Linked DNA regions of Stegostoma tigrinum. The protein of the gene in region 2 interacts with the protein of the main gene of each other region in a pairwise test. Links are inferred from orthologs where the notes say so. Each region holds a gene or a part of one and is shown on either strand. Other genes may lie near its edges.

The links.
Region 1: the proteins of ssx2ipa (region 2) and top3b interact in binary tests that used the Homo sapiens proteins (3 or more experiments, as listed by UniProt). The two-hybrid records come from large-scale screens. The link is inferred for Stegostoma tigrinum from reciprocal best matches to the Homo sapiens genes SSX2IP and TOP3B.

Annotation. Positions count from the first base shown.
Region 1 is NC_081379.1:44,586,568-44,595,017, forward strand, and holds the start of top3b (DNA topoisomerase 3-beta-1), read right to left. Parts: upstream 3,186-8,450; 5' UTR 3,118-3,185; coding exon 3,048-3,117; intron 1-3,047. UniProt on the Homo sapiens protein: Releases the supercoiling and torsional tension of DNA introduced during the DNA replication and transcription by transiently cleaving and rejoining one strand of the DNA duplex.
Region 2 is NC_081361.1:98,998,489-99,006,377, forward strand, and holds the start of ssx2ipa (synovial sarcoma, X breakpoint 2 interacting protein a), read right to left. Parts: upstream 3,209-7,889; 5' UTR 3,106-3,208; coding exon 3,042-3,105; exon of another isoform or gene 2,878-3,041; intron 1-2,877. UniProt on the Homo sapiens protein: Belongs to an adhesion system, which plays a role in the organization of homotypic, interneuronal and heterotypic cell-cell adherens junctions (AJs).

The DNA of each region.
Region 1 (8,450 bases), on a different chromosome or scaffold from region 2:
CAAATTTAAATTTAATTAACTGCCATGACGGGATTCAAACTCACGTCCCTAGTACATTAGCCTGGACTTTACACCTCAACTTTCTTCCTGCTAAAAACTATCTTTGATAACTTCCCCTGTATGGCTCAGCATCTGCCTTTATTCAAGAGTACAGGGATTGGACATCCATGGTGTCCCCCCCACCAAACCCATGTCCAGGAACTCCCCACCTACATTCATGATACCACCTATGCCCTCCACCTCACCTGAGACTTCCAATTCCCTGGACCCCAAAATGTCATCTTCACTATGGACATCCAATTTCTGACACTTTTAGGCGCCATGCAGATGGCCGAAATGCCCTTCACTTCTTCTTCTCTCACAGACCGAGCCAGTCTCCCACTACCAACACCCTCATCCACTTAACAGAACTTTTCCTTACCCTGAACAACAACTCCTTTAATTCCTCCCACTTCCTAGAAACTAAGGGGGTGGCTATGGGCACCCATATGGGTCCGAGCTACATCTGTCTCTTCGTAGGAAACGTGGAACAGTCCCTTTTCCGCTATTACACAGGCACCATCCCACACTCTTCCTCTGTTACACTGATGACTGTATCAGTGCTAACATGCTCCCACGAGGAGCTAGGACAGTTCATCAACTTTACTAATACCTTTCATCCCAGCCTCAAATTCACCTGGACCATGTCCGATACTTCCCTCCCCTTCCTGGACTTCTCCATCTCCATCTCTGATAACCACCTCAACACCGACATTTATTTCAAACCCACCGACTCCTATGGCTACTGGACTACACCTCCACTCACTCACCTTCCTACAAGAATGCAATCCCATACTCCCAATTCCTCCACCTTCGCCACATCTGCTCCCAAGATGGAGCGTTCCACTCCCATACATCCCAGATGTCCTCCTATTTTAAGGACTGCAATTTGCCCAATCTAATGATCAAAATGCCCTCAACCACATAGCTTGTATTGGCCTCTAACCACCACCCCCCAACAAAAATAAAGACACAGACTCCTGGTCCTCACATATCACCCCACTAACCTTTGTATCCAACACATCAACCTCCACCACAACCCCATCTGCAATTTGACCCCACAACCAAAGAGATATTTCCCTCTCCGTCTTTCATACAGACAACTCATTCTGCAAATCCCTTGTCTGCTCCACGCTCCCCACTAACCCCACCACACCCGGCACCTTTCCCTGCAACTGCAGGAAGTGCTACACCTGCCCCTACACTTCTCCCCTCACTTCCAGGCCCAAAGCAAATTTCCCATATCTGCTAGGGTTTCACCTGTACATCCTACAACCTGGCCTACAATATCCAGTGCTCCCAACGTGGTCTCCTCTACGTCAGTGAGACCAAGCGCAGACTTGACCATTTCGTGGGCCACCTGCGCTCCGTACGTGATAATCGACAACACCTTCCAGTCGCTAAGCATTTCAACTCCCCATCATATGCCTGGGATGACATGTCCATCCTGGGCTTCCTCCAGTGTCATAATGAGGCCACACACAAATTGGAGGAGCAACAACTCATAATACACCTCAGAAGCCTACAGCCCAATGGCCTAAACATTGAATTCACCAGTTTTAAAATCTCCCCATCCCATGTCCAAACCTCCTTCTCATACACGCCTCGATGACCTGACATAACCTGTCAATCTTCTGCCCCACCCTTCCCACTGGCCAATCCCTATTTCCCCACATCTGCAGCCACCACCCCTGCCTCAGGCCCACACATCCTCCCTCTCACCTCCTTGACCTGACACAACCTGTCCTTCTTCTCTCCCACCTATCTGCCCCACCCTTCCCACTGACCAATCTCCACCATCCCCTACATGCATCCACCTATCACCATGCCACCTACCTTCAATCAGCCACACCCCTCCTTGTTCTATTTATTTCCCGGCTCCCTTTCCCCTCCCCAATTCTGAAGAAGGGCCCTTTCCTATTCCTCTGAAGCTGCCTGACCTGCTGTATTTCTTCAGCTTCACACCATGTTGACTCTGGCTCCAGCATCTGCAGTTCTTGCTATCTCCAACTGACACCTGCCCATGCTTCCTGATCAGCACAAAGGTCTGGCTAATTCATTTACTGATTTTTAATCTAGACCCTACCTGTAATTGTGATATTCAACAAGAAAGTTACTGAAAGAGTATGCATTCTGAGCATCATAATAGTGAGTGACAACTCAGTTTAGCGGTAAGTTTTTCTTGCAAGTTGGAACAATAGGGACTCAGACCCTGATTCTGCACATAATCTAGGTTGTCACATTATCATAACTGAGGGAGTGCTGAATTATTGGGAGATGCCATTGGCCAGATGAAATGTTAACTTGAGGCTGATCTACTTGCTCAATTGGGCATTCAGCATAGGAGACCTTTCAAACCAACCAATCCATGCTGACCATAAATCCTCATCTAAACTAGTCCCGCTTGCCTACACTAGGCCTGTATCCCTACGTACGTTTCTTTCATTTATTTAAATGTTGTAACTGTACTCGCATCCACCACTTTCTCTGGAAGTTTATTCTATATATAAGACACTCTGCAAAAATATTGCCTCTTGTTTTCTTTTTAAATCTTTCTCTTCTAACCTTAAAGTGCCTTCTAGTCTTGAAATCCCGCACCCTAGAGAAAAGGCAACCGCCGTTCACCTTTATCCACAAGATTTTATATACCTCTATAAGGTCATCCCTCATGAAATAGCACACAACCCGATTTAGCAAAGGTTAGAAGAATTTGCTCAAGTCTCGGAACCAAAACTTAATCATTCATTAAAGATAGATGATCCAGTCACTCATCTCAAATGTTGTTCCCTGGTTGTAATTTCCAATAATCTGGCTGTACTAGTACAGAAGGCAAATTTTACAAAGCGCTTTAACGTGGCCTCATGGTACATCCAGCTAGTTTCGAAACGAAGGGAAACCGTAGGACCAATGCCAAAGCTGTGCCTCAATGGATCTGCCGTGGAAAAACTGAGCTCGTAGGAACAAGCCCACACATTCGTACAGATTACTGCTGATCGAGGCTCACTTACCCCGCGACAGGATCTTGGCGATGGATTGAGCCAGAGAAGGTTTCTCGGCGACCATCAACACCGTCTTCATGATGCCGACCTCGCTCAATACAACCACCTCCTTCAGGCCGTCGCCATGACACCCACGCACGACCCCTTCCTGTGCTCTCGACTAGACTTCCGGTTCCGGCCGATTCCCATGGTAACCGCGAGGCCCTTTGCTCAGTGCAGATCAGCGCTGGAAGCTGTGATCATACCGCATGAGACAGGGCACCTTCCAAACAACAAAAATGTAATTTCTCCTCTACAAACTTAATTTGATAATAGGTAAAAATTGACGTCCCAACACACCTTATTTCAGAAACAGAGCACTACGGATGCTGTTCTGTGGAAGGGTCACTTTTTTATTTTAAAGCCGTGTACTGCAATTTTTGTTTTAAATTTAGAGCCATGTTGTACAAATAATGGATCTGAACTAGAGCATCTTGCCCAAGCATCTGCTTTGGTTGTTCTGACATCGCAGCAGCCCTATTCTGCCCACATATGAATTTGGTTAACAATGTGAACATGAGCAGATAATCTGTTATTTGTGGTCTTGATAGAGGAAGGGTTACATATTGGCTCTAGCTCATCAGTGCAAATTTCCTTCTTCTATGAGCCAGACCGAATCTCCTTAATATATATCGAGGAGACAGCTTAGATTCTACCTTTTTCTCTTTATAGAGGTAAGTATAAGGAGCTGCATTGCATATCTGATTCAATTGGTCAAACTACTATGCTTTAAGCAAAACACACTTGATTCTGGCACCACAGTTTAGAAACAGAAACAAAAACAAAAAAAATGGCATAACCATAACTCTATCTAGATACATAGCAAAATTATATATTATTTAACAGCTACTCCTACTGTTCCAATGTAACAGCATCCCATAAACACACCCTTGGCACAGGTCAATTCAGCAAAACAGATTTCCATCACTTATGATCTTATCCAGTCCAGGAGAAGGAACACTGACTGAACATCTTTAACTACAGAGTGAGAACTGTATCTAGCATCTTAGTCCAAACCCCAGCTTCAACAACTGAAAGTATAAACTAAAGCCCTGTATCTGTGTAAGCCTTGTTCAAACCCTCCTGCTTTTTTTGTTTAGTTTTTTGTTTAAAAAATCCAAAGCTATTTAATCTTCTTTCCATGGAGCAGACCCCATGGTACCGTGTTTACAACATCTCTCTTCCTGAGGAACAGGACAGAACAAATCTGTCTTAGGCATATCTTGTCACATTTCTTTTTCAAAATAGTGTGTGGGATCTTTCATATCCAATTGAACAAGCATATCGGAAACCAAATTAACTTCTCATCCAGGAGCTAGCACCTTCAACAGTGCAGCACTTCCTCCATATTGCACCACAGCACCATCTTTGTGCTCAAGGCTTAAACCTTGGAGTGGGACTGAAATTTAGAGGCCAAGAGAGTTTAACTGAGCCACTGCTGAAGTTTAATGCCTTGGCTGAAAAATGGCCTAATGTTCTTCATTGCAATAGGGAAGTATCAACCTGTTATATGTTTGAATCTCGAGCGTGTGACTTGTAACACAGAATTCCATAACTCAAAGGCAAGTGTGCTACATGCTAAGCCAGAGCAAATGTACAAGTTGTCATTGGCTTCTGTCTTATATTGCTGCGACCATATCAACTTACTGAATACTGAGGTGGGGAAGAAAACAGTACTCCTCATAATACCAGAATTTTTCAACAATCGGCACACATGAGACTGACACCATGTCGCCATTTTTCAAAATTTTTCTGTCTGAGATTAAGGCTACAGTTCTTTGCTGCTTGATCTGATAACACTTTCAAATGTTCATATACCATATCATTTAAGGTCAGCTTCAGTATTTTTAATCATCATTTGAACTGTAATCAGGATGGATCCTCAGTTATGCCACCTCAGTGAAAACCAAGATGTCAAGTGTCTCTGTTAGTAATAGTGAGATGCCATCTTTTGGATAAGACCTCAAACTGAGACCCCTTGAATGAAAGCACACAGTTGTATGACCAACACTTCAAAGAAGAGCAGTAAGTCCTTCCCAGTGTCTTGACACTACACTTCAAGAAGGATGTGAAGTAGCTAGAGAATTTAGGAACAAGAGTAGGCTATTCAAGCGTACTTCCATCCCCTATTCCCAATTCCTCCGCCTCCGCCGCATCTGCTCCCACGATAAGACATTCCACTCCTGCACATCCCAGATGTCCAAGTTCTTTAAGGACCGCAACTTTCCCCCCACAGTGATCGAGAACGCCCTTGACCGCGTCTCCCGTATTTCCCACAACACATCCCTCACACCCCGCCCCCGCCACAACCGCCCTAAGAGGATCCTCCTCGTTCTCACACACCACCCTACCAACCTCCGGATACAACGCATCATCCTCCGACACTTCCACCATTTACAATCCGACCCCACCACCCAAGACATTTTTCCATCCCCTCCCCTGTCTGCTTTCCGGAGAGACCACACTCTCCGTGACTCCCTTGTTCGCTCCACACTGCCCTCCAACCCCACCACAGCCGGCACCTTCCCCTGCAACCGCAGGAAATGCTACACTTGTCCCCACACCTCCTCCCTCACCCCTATCCCAGGCCCCAAGATGACATTCCACATTGGCAGATGTGCAGGTGAACCTCTGCTTAATGTGGTATACTGCATCCACTGTACCCGGTGCGGCTTCCTCTACATTGGGGAAACCAAACGGAGGCTTGGGGACTGCTTTGCAGAACACCTCCGCTCAGTTCGCAACAAACAACTGCATCTCCCAGTCGCAAACCATTTCCACTCCCCCTCCCATTCTCTAGATGACATGTCCATCATGGGCCTCCTGCACTGCCACAATGATGCCACCCGAAGGTTGCAGGAACAGCAACTCATATTCCGCCTGGGAACCCTGCAGCCATATGGTATCAATGTGGACTTCACCAGTTTCAAAATCTCCCCTTCCCCTACTGCATCCCTAAACCAGCCCAGTTCGTCCCCTCCCCCCACTGCACCACACAACCAGCCCAGCTCTTCCCCCCCCCCCCCCCCCAAACCCACTGCATCCCAAAACCAGTCCAACCTGTCTCTGCCTCCCTAACCAGTTCTTCCTCTCACCCATCCCTTCCTCCCACCCCAAGCCGCATCCCCAGCTACCTACTAACCTCATCCCACCTCCTTGACCTGTCCGTCTTCCGTGGACTGACCTATCCCCTCCGTACCTCCCCACCTATACTCTCTCCACCTATCTTCTTTACTCTCCATCTTCGGTCCGCCTCCCCCTCTCTCCCTATTTATTCCAGTTCCCTCTCCCCATCCCCCTTTCTGATGAAGGGTCTAGGCCCGAAACGTCAGCTTTTGTGCTCCTGAGATGCTGCTTGGCCTGCTGTGTTCATCCAGCCTCACATTTTATTATCTTGGAATTCTCCAGCATCTGCAGTTCCCATTACCTCAGTATGATGGTTGATCTGTTTGTGGTCTCAACTTCACTTTCCTGTTTGCAAGAAAAGAATTACAAGAATGGTTGTAAAAGCCAGTTGTGTATTCACCGTTTCTCCACATGAGCATCATGATTTGGTGCCATTTCCTGCCTTCTCCACATACTCAAGCACATTGTTTCTGTTTAAATAATCATCCAGTGCTGCCTTAAAAGCCTCAATTGAACCTGCCTCCAGCGCATTCCACACCTAAACCATGCATTAGCAATTTTATTTCACCTTGTCTTTTGTTTCCTTCGGAAATCACTTTAAATCTGAGCCCTCTTATTCTTGATCCTTGAATAAGTAGGAACAGCTTATTTACACAATCCAGTCCACTTGTGATTTTTGAAAACTTCTGTCAGATGTGTTTTTAGCTTTCTTTCTCTAAGCAGAAAAGTTCCATTCTCTCCAATCTATCATAACTGAAATTTTCCATCTCTGGAATCATTCCTGTAAATCTCTTCTGCAGTCTCCCCAATTTGTTCATATCCTTACCATAGTCTGGTACCCAGAACTGTATGCAAAACTGAGGTTTGACAAGTTACTTGGGTAAATTTGGCATCACCTCCTTATTCTTGTCTCCATGCCCCTATTAATAAAGCCCAGGATATTGTATGCTTTATTAACCATTCTCTCCACTTGCCACATACACCAGTTCCTTATGCACTTGCACCTCCTTTAGAATTGTACCCGTTATGTTATTATTATCTGTGATAATGGAAACTGCAGATGCTGGAGAATCCAAGATAATAAAATGTGAGGCTGGATGAACACAGCAGGCCCAGCAGCATCTCAGGAGCACAAAAGCTGACGTTTCGGGCCTAGACCCTTCGTCAGAGAGGGGGATGGGGTGAGGGTTCTGGAATAAATAGGGAGAGAGGGGGAGGCAGACCGAAGATGGAGAGAAAAGAAGATAGGTAGGGAGGGTATAGGCCAGTTCAGGGAAGACGGACAGGTCAAGGAGGTGGGATGCGGTTAGTAGGTAGGAGATGGAGGTGCGGCTTGGGGTGGGGGGAAGGGATGGGTCACCCATCCCTTCCTCCCACCCCAAGCCGCACCTCCATCTCCTACCTACTAACCGCATCCCACCTCCTTGACCTGTCCGTCTTCCCTGGACTAGCCTATACCCTCCCTACCTCCCCACCTATACTCCCCTCTCCACCTATCTTCTTTTCTCTCCATGTTCGGTCCGCCTCCCCCCTCTCCCTATTTATTCCAGAACCCTCACCCCATCCCCCTCTCTGATGAAGGGTAAAACGTCAGCTTTTGTGCTCCTGAGATGCTGCTGGGCCTGCTGTGTTCATCCAGCCTCACATTTTATTATCTATGTTATATTATCTGTCCATTTTCTTCCTGAAAAATGCATTACCTCATTTCACATGTTTTGAAAAAAAATTACCTCTTGTCTAAAACATTTCAATTAACCCGCAACCTTTACAGGTAAAGAATTCTACCTTTCGATCACATTTTTGTGTGAAGAAATGCCTTTTGATTTAATTACTGAATGACCAAACTCTATGATTTTTGCTTTAGATTTCCCTACCAGAAAGCTGTTTCTTCTGTAAAGTGGGAGCACTTAATGAACAAAAAAAAAGCAATCCATTGGGATGTAGACACTTTGGCAGACACAAAGATGTGTTGTGGACACAGAATAAGAAATAAAAGAATAAATTCAAGGGACAACATCAAAATGTTAAGCGGGGTCGGGGGGGGGGCATAAACATTTGCACTGTTTCAGATACACCAATAAGTCACTGAGTTTCCTTAGATATTTAGCTTATTTGTCAGGAAATTGATTCCAAAACGTTTCCATTTTATTTATTTTCACCTTTTATCTCAGTGTCTTGGCACCCTTGACTAACATGTTTTTGCAAAGTGATTCAGAAGCTTTTCACTAGTGGGAAAGCACATTGCTC
Region 2 (7,889 bases):
TTAAAACAGACACTAACTTTCTCATTAAACCGCTTCCTTTAGGAATATAGGATGATGTTCAACAGGACTGGTCAGATGCAACTCCAACAACTTGCTAAGTAGTACTGCCCTGCTTGCAATTTTTTTTGGGAGTTCCTCCCTCCACTCCATTTCTGGATTTACAACTATTCCTGGGATGTCACTACTATCTTCTATAGCTAACACCAATGTAAACTACCCATTCAATTCATCCATCTCATTAATGCTCCAAACTCACTTTCCAGAGATCAATTCTTAGTCTGTTAACTCTTACTGTCTTTTATATTCCCACCTGGCTTCACTTATACTCCCTCTTTAATCTTTTAGCCGTTCTTTGCTGTAATGTACAGTGTGTCTAATCTTCTGCCTTGCCACCCAGCTTTTTCCTTTCGGGTTGATACTATTATTAACTGCTTTTAAGTTAGACATGGGCGACCAGTCCTCCATTTGGAATTTCTTTTTTGGAACTAATCTCGGTATTTTGAAATATATCTAATTTCTGTCACCGCATCCATTAACATATCCTTTATCTACCTACAGCACATGCAATACATGGTTCAAGAATGTAGCTCATCACCACTATCAAAGAATGGGCAAAAAAAAAGAAATTGATATCCACATCCCATAAGTGAGTTTAAAAAAAACAAGCTTGTCAGTTAATATCTACTTTTGTGTCTTAATCAACTTTGAAATAGTATTGGACACAGCCACCTCTTCAAAATAGGATATAAAATTCTGATTTTTACTGCTCCCGAGCGACAAGCGCACTCCAAATTAATCCCATCACATTGAACAACACTAGGTCTAGTATTGCCTGTCCTGAGGTTGGGTCCAGAACATGTCATTCTAAATAAAAAGAAAGAATTCCCTGCCAGAATGACTGCCAGACTACTCGGACCTCTTGGCATCAGGGTAGCCCACAAACCCACCAACACACTAAAACAGCAGCTAATGAACTTAAAAGACCCTGTACAGACAACAAAACGAACATCATCTACAAAATACCTTGCGAGAACTGTGACAAACACTACATTGGACAAACAGGCAGAAAGCTAACCATCAGGATACATGAACATCAACTAGCCACAAAAAGACATGACCCACTATCACTAGTATCCTTACATACAGATGAGGAAGGACACCACTTTGATTGGGACAACACATCCATCCTAGAACAAGCCAAACAGAGACACGCACGAGAATTCCTAGAAGCATGGCATTCCAACCAGAACTCCATCAACAAACGCATTGATTTGGAGCCCATCTACCATCCTCTGAGAAAAAGAACAGGAAATGACATCACCAACCCAAGGAAACCTAAACAGATAAATAGAAAGCAGGACATAACACCAGCGCTTCGTCGGAGGCTCACTGATGATGTTACCTAGAATGGTGACGAAACGTCTGAAAACGAACCTTCCAGCTCAGCGAGTGAACTCACACCCAGAACCTTAACGTGAGCTCCAAATCTTCTCAAAACTCGCTAAAGAATTCCCTGATTTACAAACAGTCGTATTTACAAATACAATCCTATGTGTTGTTACAATTTTGAAAACCCAACATATAAATATTCAAGCTTCAAAATCTTCCTTCCTGTTACCTCGTCCCAAAATCAGTCAAGCTTGTCCACACCTCCCTAACCCATCCTTCCTCCCACCTGAAGCCCCACCCCATCTCCTACCTACTAACTTCATCCCGCCCCTTTGACCTGTCCATCCTCCCTGGATCGACCTATCCCCTCCCTAACTCCCCACCTACATTCACCTTCACTGGCTCTAAGCCCACCTCTTTGACTTGTCCGTCTCCTCTCACCCTATCTTCTCCTTTATCCATCTCCGCCTCCCCCCTCTCCCTATTTATTTCAGAATCCCCTTCCCCCATTTCTGAAGAAGGATCTTGACCCAAAACAGCAAAAAAAAACTTTCCTGCTCGGTCTGCTGTGTTCATCCAGCTTCACACCTTATTATTTTTAATTAGGTATAGATGGGGAAAAAAATTCAAAGCAAAACGTTTAACTATGACTTCACCAAACAGGACAGAATTTGCTCATTTGTTGTAAGACCTTGTTTTTTTAAAAAAACCAATTAGGGAGGGATCTGACAGAGTATAAAGGTTTGAACAAATAGCGGAGTTAGACAACAGTGACAAGAAACTGAATTTTTCACAACTCAAAAATGCAGAACATAATTCTAAATGTAAGTATTTTTTCATCCAGTAATTTTCTGCACCACCCAAATGTATTTCAAAACTGGGCTACTGGCGTGCCAAGCATATAATTATGTAAACTGCACCAGCTACAATGGCTTGCTGTTTTTTTTTGCAGTTTCTAAATTTATTCGTGAAGTCGCACTGATTACAAAACCCCAGAATATTTAATTATAAGCTCGTTACCTCACTGGAGTTAGGTATAGCAACTGACAGCTAGACCTGTACTTAAAATACAGTACGACCAGCGAGAAGGTCCCTTTAAAAAAAAAGTTACGTTTCAATACGAATTCAATGTTTTTTTCAATCAAACTGGTTTATGGTAGTGTTCGTAGGCTCGAAGCTCTAATTCTTTTTTTATTTCCTTCTGCACTTTTCTCTCACTTGGTTGATTCTCAACTGCGTTTCTAATTTTTCTATAAATTCGCCGCATACGATCCGGAGTTCCAGGGTTACACCACTCCCGGGATTCTGCTGAATTCCCTATTGGGCATATTCGCTGTGGTCACGACCCGTCTTTTCGGTCTCAATCTACACAAACGTATCATCTAGGTATGAAAGCACTTGTTGCAATGAGAACCACACCTCCACCTCAAGCCCAGAAATTCGGAACACGGAAATACACAATAATTAAACGGCAAAAAAGTTCGTTACCTGTTTAAACAAGGCAATAATTCTCCAGTGAAGGGGCGGGGCGGGAAAGGAGGAAAGAAAAATGTTTCAATTTCACAGCCAGTTTTAACAATTTGCACATTGACTGACGATCAATACAGCGAGGAGAGCCAAAATATATACTGTTTTCTTAAACAAACAATAACCTTTTGCAGTGCTGGTGCCCCTGGATGAATGAGCGAGCAGCGTAACTTGCACAAGAAGTAACATCGCAGTGCCGCAGACCGGGCCCGGTACTGCGCAAGCGTCACGAGTTGCAGCCGGGCCCGGGTAAGCACATGCGCACTGGAACCCAGTGACGGTTGCGTGCGCGTCTCACTCGGAAACCATGGTAACCGGGCCTAGCCCAGGACCGTACTCAAATAACCGCCAACGGCGGCGACTGTTGTGGTTCGCCTCCCCGCCCCTTTCAACAACTGCCCTTACATCAGTCCGACATCTCTGGCCTCAGGCAGTTGGCTCCTCCTCATCGACTCCAGCGCCGGTGACTCTATCACCACATTGCGACTGCATTTGAAGTCATGCGAACGTTACAGTCTTTCCCTCCCTCTCTCACGGTTTTATTTGAAGCAGGTCGACGCCGGCGCCTTCATCCAAAGCGGAAGCCAATTGGTCAAGACCGGCAGTCGGCACGTCGAGGAGTAAACCCAACGATGATTGGCTTAGCTGGTGGTAGTCATCTGTTGGTGAGTTTTGAGAAGATTTGTAGCTCAGGTTGAGGTTCTACAGAGGTACTTAGAAAATCTTTTCTGAATGGTCTCATCCTAATTCTCAGACTATGTCCCCCATGTTCAACAATGCCCAACCAGGATCCCACCTTCCACCTCTGGAAAAACTAATGAACTCAACTTCTTCCCTGAAATTAAGGTAGTGAGTTTGCTCGCTGAGCTGGAAGGTTAGTTTTCAGACGTTTCGTCATCATTCTAGGTAACATCATCAGTGAGCCTCCGATGAAGCGCTGGTAGCCACCAGGATACATGAACATCAACTAGCCACAAAACGACATGGCCCACTATCACTCGTATCCTTACATACAGATAAGGAAGGACACCACTTTGATTGGGACAACACATCCATCCTAGGACAAGCCAAACAGAGACACGCACGAGAATTCCTAGAAGCATAGCATTCCAACCGGAACTCCATCAACAAACACATTGATTTGGAGCAAATCTACCATCCCCTGAGAAAAAGAATGGGAAATGACATCACCAACACAGGAAATGACATCACCAACCCAAGGAAACCTAACCAGATAAATAGAAAGTGGGACATAACACCAGCGCTTCGTCGGAGGCTCACTGATGATGTTACCTAGAATGGTGACGAAACGTCTGAAAACTAACCTTCCAGCTCAGCGAGCAAACTCACATCCAGTAGTCATCTGTCCCCGCGACTTTGCCGCTGGTCATGTGGTCTAGAGCTTGTGCCAGTTTTTGCCTAGCCTCAGGGCAGCATAGCGAGAATGCCAAACCGAAGGGAACAGCAATTTCCGTTGCATGTTTCACTCCGTTAATAACTGAGATTAAATGTTACGCTCACTACCTTAATTTCAGGGAAGAAGTTGGGTTCATTAGTTTTTCCAGAGGTGGAAGGTGGGATCCTGGTTGGGCATTGTTGAACATGGGGTGCATAGTCTGAGAATTAGGATGAGACCATTCAGAAAAGATTTTCTAAGTACCTCTGTAATAGATGTTAGGAACTATTTGTAAGATTTTACATTTGTTGCTAAGAAAGTTTAGGTTCCCTTGATTAATTCCAGCGATGAACACAAATGCAGAAGTTGCTGGGAAAGCTCAGCAGGTCTGGCAGCATCTGTGAAGAAAATAATCAGAGTTAATGTCCCTTTCTCACGACTGAATCCTAACTTATTCTTCCTTCACAGATACTGTCAGACCTGGTGAGCTTTTCCCAGCAACGTCTGTTTTTGTTCCTGATTTACAGCATCCACAGTTTGTTTGGTTTTTATCCAGCGATTAAAAAGCTTGCTTTAAGAGGAGAATTTGAGAGGTTTCAGCCTTTATGGCTTAGAGCTGAGGGGAATGAGAGAAGATCCATTTTTAGGACATAAGATGCTTAAGGAAATTGACAAAGTATACGTAGACAGGATGTTTCCCCTTGTGGGACAATAAAGAACAAAGGGTTTCAGGGATAGTAGGAACTGCAGATGTTGGAGAATCTGAGATAATAAGGCGTAGAGCTGGACGAACACAGGTCAAACCGCATCAGAGGAGCAGGAAAGCTGACATTTCGGGCCTAGACCCTTCTTCAGAAAATGAAGAAGTGCCTAGGCCTGAAATGTCAGCTTTCCTGCTCCTCTGATGTTGCTTGGCCTGCTGTGTTCATCCAGCTCTACACCTTGTTATCGTAGAACAAAGGGTCACGGTTTTAGGATAAGGTAAGGTATATTTAAACAGAGATGAGAAGAAATTACTTCTCTCAAAGAGTCATGAATCTGTGGAATTCAGTACAGCAGGTTGCTGAGAAACTGAGCAAATAAGACCATAAGACATAGGTGTGGAATTAGGCCATTTGGCCCCTCAAGTCTGCTGTGCCATTCAATCATGGCTGATAAGTTCCTCAACCCCATTCTCCAGCTTTCTTCCAACAACCCTTGATCCCTTTGATAATCAATAACCTATCTATCCCAGTCTTAAATGTACTCAATGACCTGGCGTCCACGGCCTTTTGTGGCAGGGAATTCCATAAATTCACCACTCCTTGGCTGAAGAAGTTTCTCCTTATCTCCATTCTAAAAGGCCTTCTCTTTACTCTAAGGCTGTGCCCTCGGGTCCTACCAATGGAAACATCTTCCCAACATCCAGTTTGTCCAGGTCATTCAGTATTTTGAAAGTTTCAATTAGACTCCCCCTCATCCTTCTAAACTCCAGTGAGTATAGCCCCAGAGTCCTCAAATGTTCCTCATATGTTAAGCTTTCCATTCCTGGGACCATTCTCAGTAACCTCCTCTGAACCCTGTCCACGGCCAGTACATCCTTCCTGAGACATGAGGCCCAAAACTGCATGCAATACTCCAAATGTGGTCTGCCCAGAGCCTTATAAAGCTTTGGTAGTGCATCCCTGCTTTTATATTCAAGTCCTCTCAAAATAAATGCCAACATTGCATTTGCGTTCCTGCTACTGACTCAACCTGCAAGTTTACCTTGCGAGAACACCGGACTAGAACTCCCAAGTCTTTTTGCACTTCAGACTTCTGAATTTTCTCCCCATTTAGGAAATAGTACATGCTTTTGTTCTTCTTACCAAAGTGCATGATCTCAGACTTTCCCACATTGTACTCCATCTGGCAGTTCTTTTCCCACTCTTGACCTGTCCAAGTCTTCCTGCAGCCTCGCCACCTCCTCAGTACTACCTGTCCCTTCACCTATCTTTGTATTGTGTGCAAACGTAGCCAGAATGCCCGCAGTTCCTTCATCTAGATCATTAATGTACAAAGTGAAGAGTTATGGTCCCAACACCAAGCCTTGTGGAACTCCACTCATCACCATTGCCATCCTGAGAAAGACCCCTTTATCCCTACTCTCTGCTTTCTGCCAGACTGCCAATCTTCTATCCATGTTAGCATGCTGCCTCTAACACTGTGGGCCCTTATCTGACTCAGCAGTCTCCTGTGTAGCACCTTATCAAAAGGCATTCTTGAAGCCCAGGTAGATAACATCCATTGGCTCTCCTTGCTCTACCCTGCTCGTTACTTCCTTAAGGAATTCTAGCAGATTTGTCAGGCATGACCTCCCCATGATGAAATCATTCTGACTATGTCCTACTTTACCGTACACTTACAAATATTCAGAAATCTCATCCTTCACAACGGACTCCAAAATCTTGCCCGCGACCAAGGTTAGGCTAATTGGCCTGGATTTTCCATCTTTTGCCTTACTCCCTTCTTAAACAGGGATGTCACGTTAGTGATTTTCCAGTTCTCTAAAACCCTCCCTGACTCTAGTGATTCCTGAAAATTCACCACTAACGCTTCCACTATCTCCTTGAGAACTCTGGGGTACAGCCCATCTGGTCCAGGGAACTTGTCCATCTTCAGGCCAATCAGTTTTAGTAGCATCTTTTCCATGGTGATGGCCACCACACCCAGCTCTGCCCCGACTCTCTTGAATTTTTGAGATATTACTTGTGACTTCCACCATGGAGACTGACACAAAGTAATTATTCAGTTCCTGAGACAGTTCCTTGAGGAAGCAGGTAGATTCTTAATTAGTTCCAGGTTATAGGGAGCGGTGGTGTTGGGTCCAAGCTATGATCAGCCATGATTGTTTTAAAGGACAGAGCAGGCTCAAGAAGTTGAGTTGCCCACTCCTGCTTCTAGTTCTTAGGACTAGTAGAGTCCAATTCTTAACAAATCTTCACTCTGTCCTCATGCAGTTGTCCTTGCATCTGGACCTAGATTGCCTACACTGATTCCGAACCCTGAGTGATACTTCCTGAAGTGAGAAGAATTTTGCTACATGGGAAGGGACTCGTCAGCCCGTGCAACATCTGTACTGCTTGTTAACAAAACCTTTCACTGTACTCTGGTACATGTGACAATAAATCAATCAATCAAGTACCTATCTACTCTAGTTCCATTTTATAGCACTTGATCCATAACCTTGAATGCGATGGCACTTCAAATAATCATTTAAATACTTTTAAAATATTTTTTAGGCAGAGAGTTCCAATGAGTTATGTCTGCCTTAATTGTGCAATGTGTCTGTCAATTATTCTGCATTCCTATGTAAATGTAACAAATTAGTAACAGAAGTAATCCACATATGAAGGATACGGACCCCCTTCAACCTTAATTATCCGTTTGTCTGCAAAATTAAATAAGGCCAGACAAGTGGAAGAGCAATGATGTGCGATTAATCCAGGTACATTCCTTCTGACGTAAGCAGTACACAAATCTGGTGTTGCTTGTGACTAAGGTTTGTATTGAACAGTGGCTGACAGAATAGTGAGCGGCCGGTATGAGTACAGGCTAG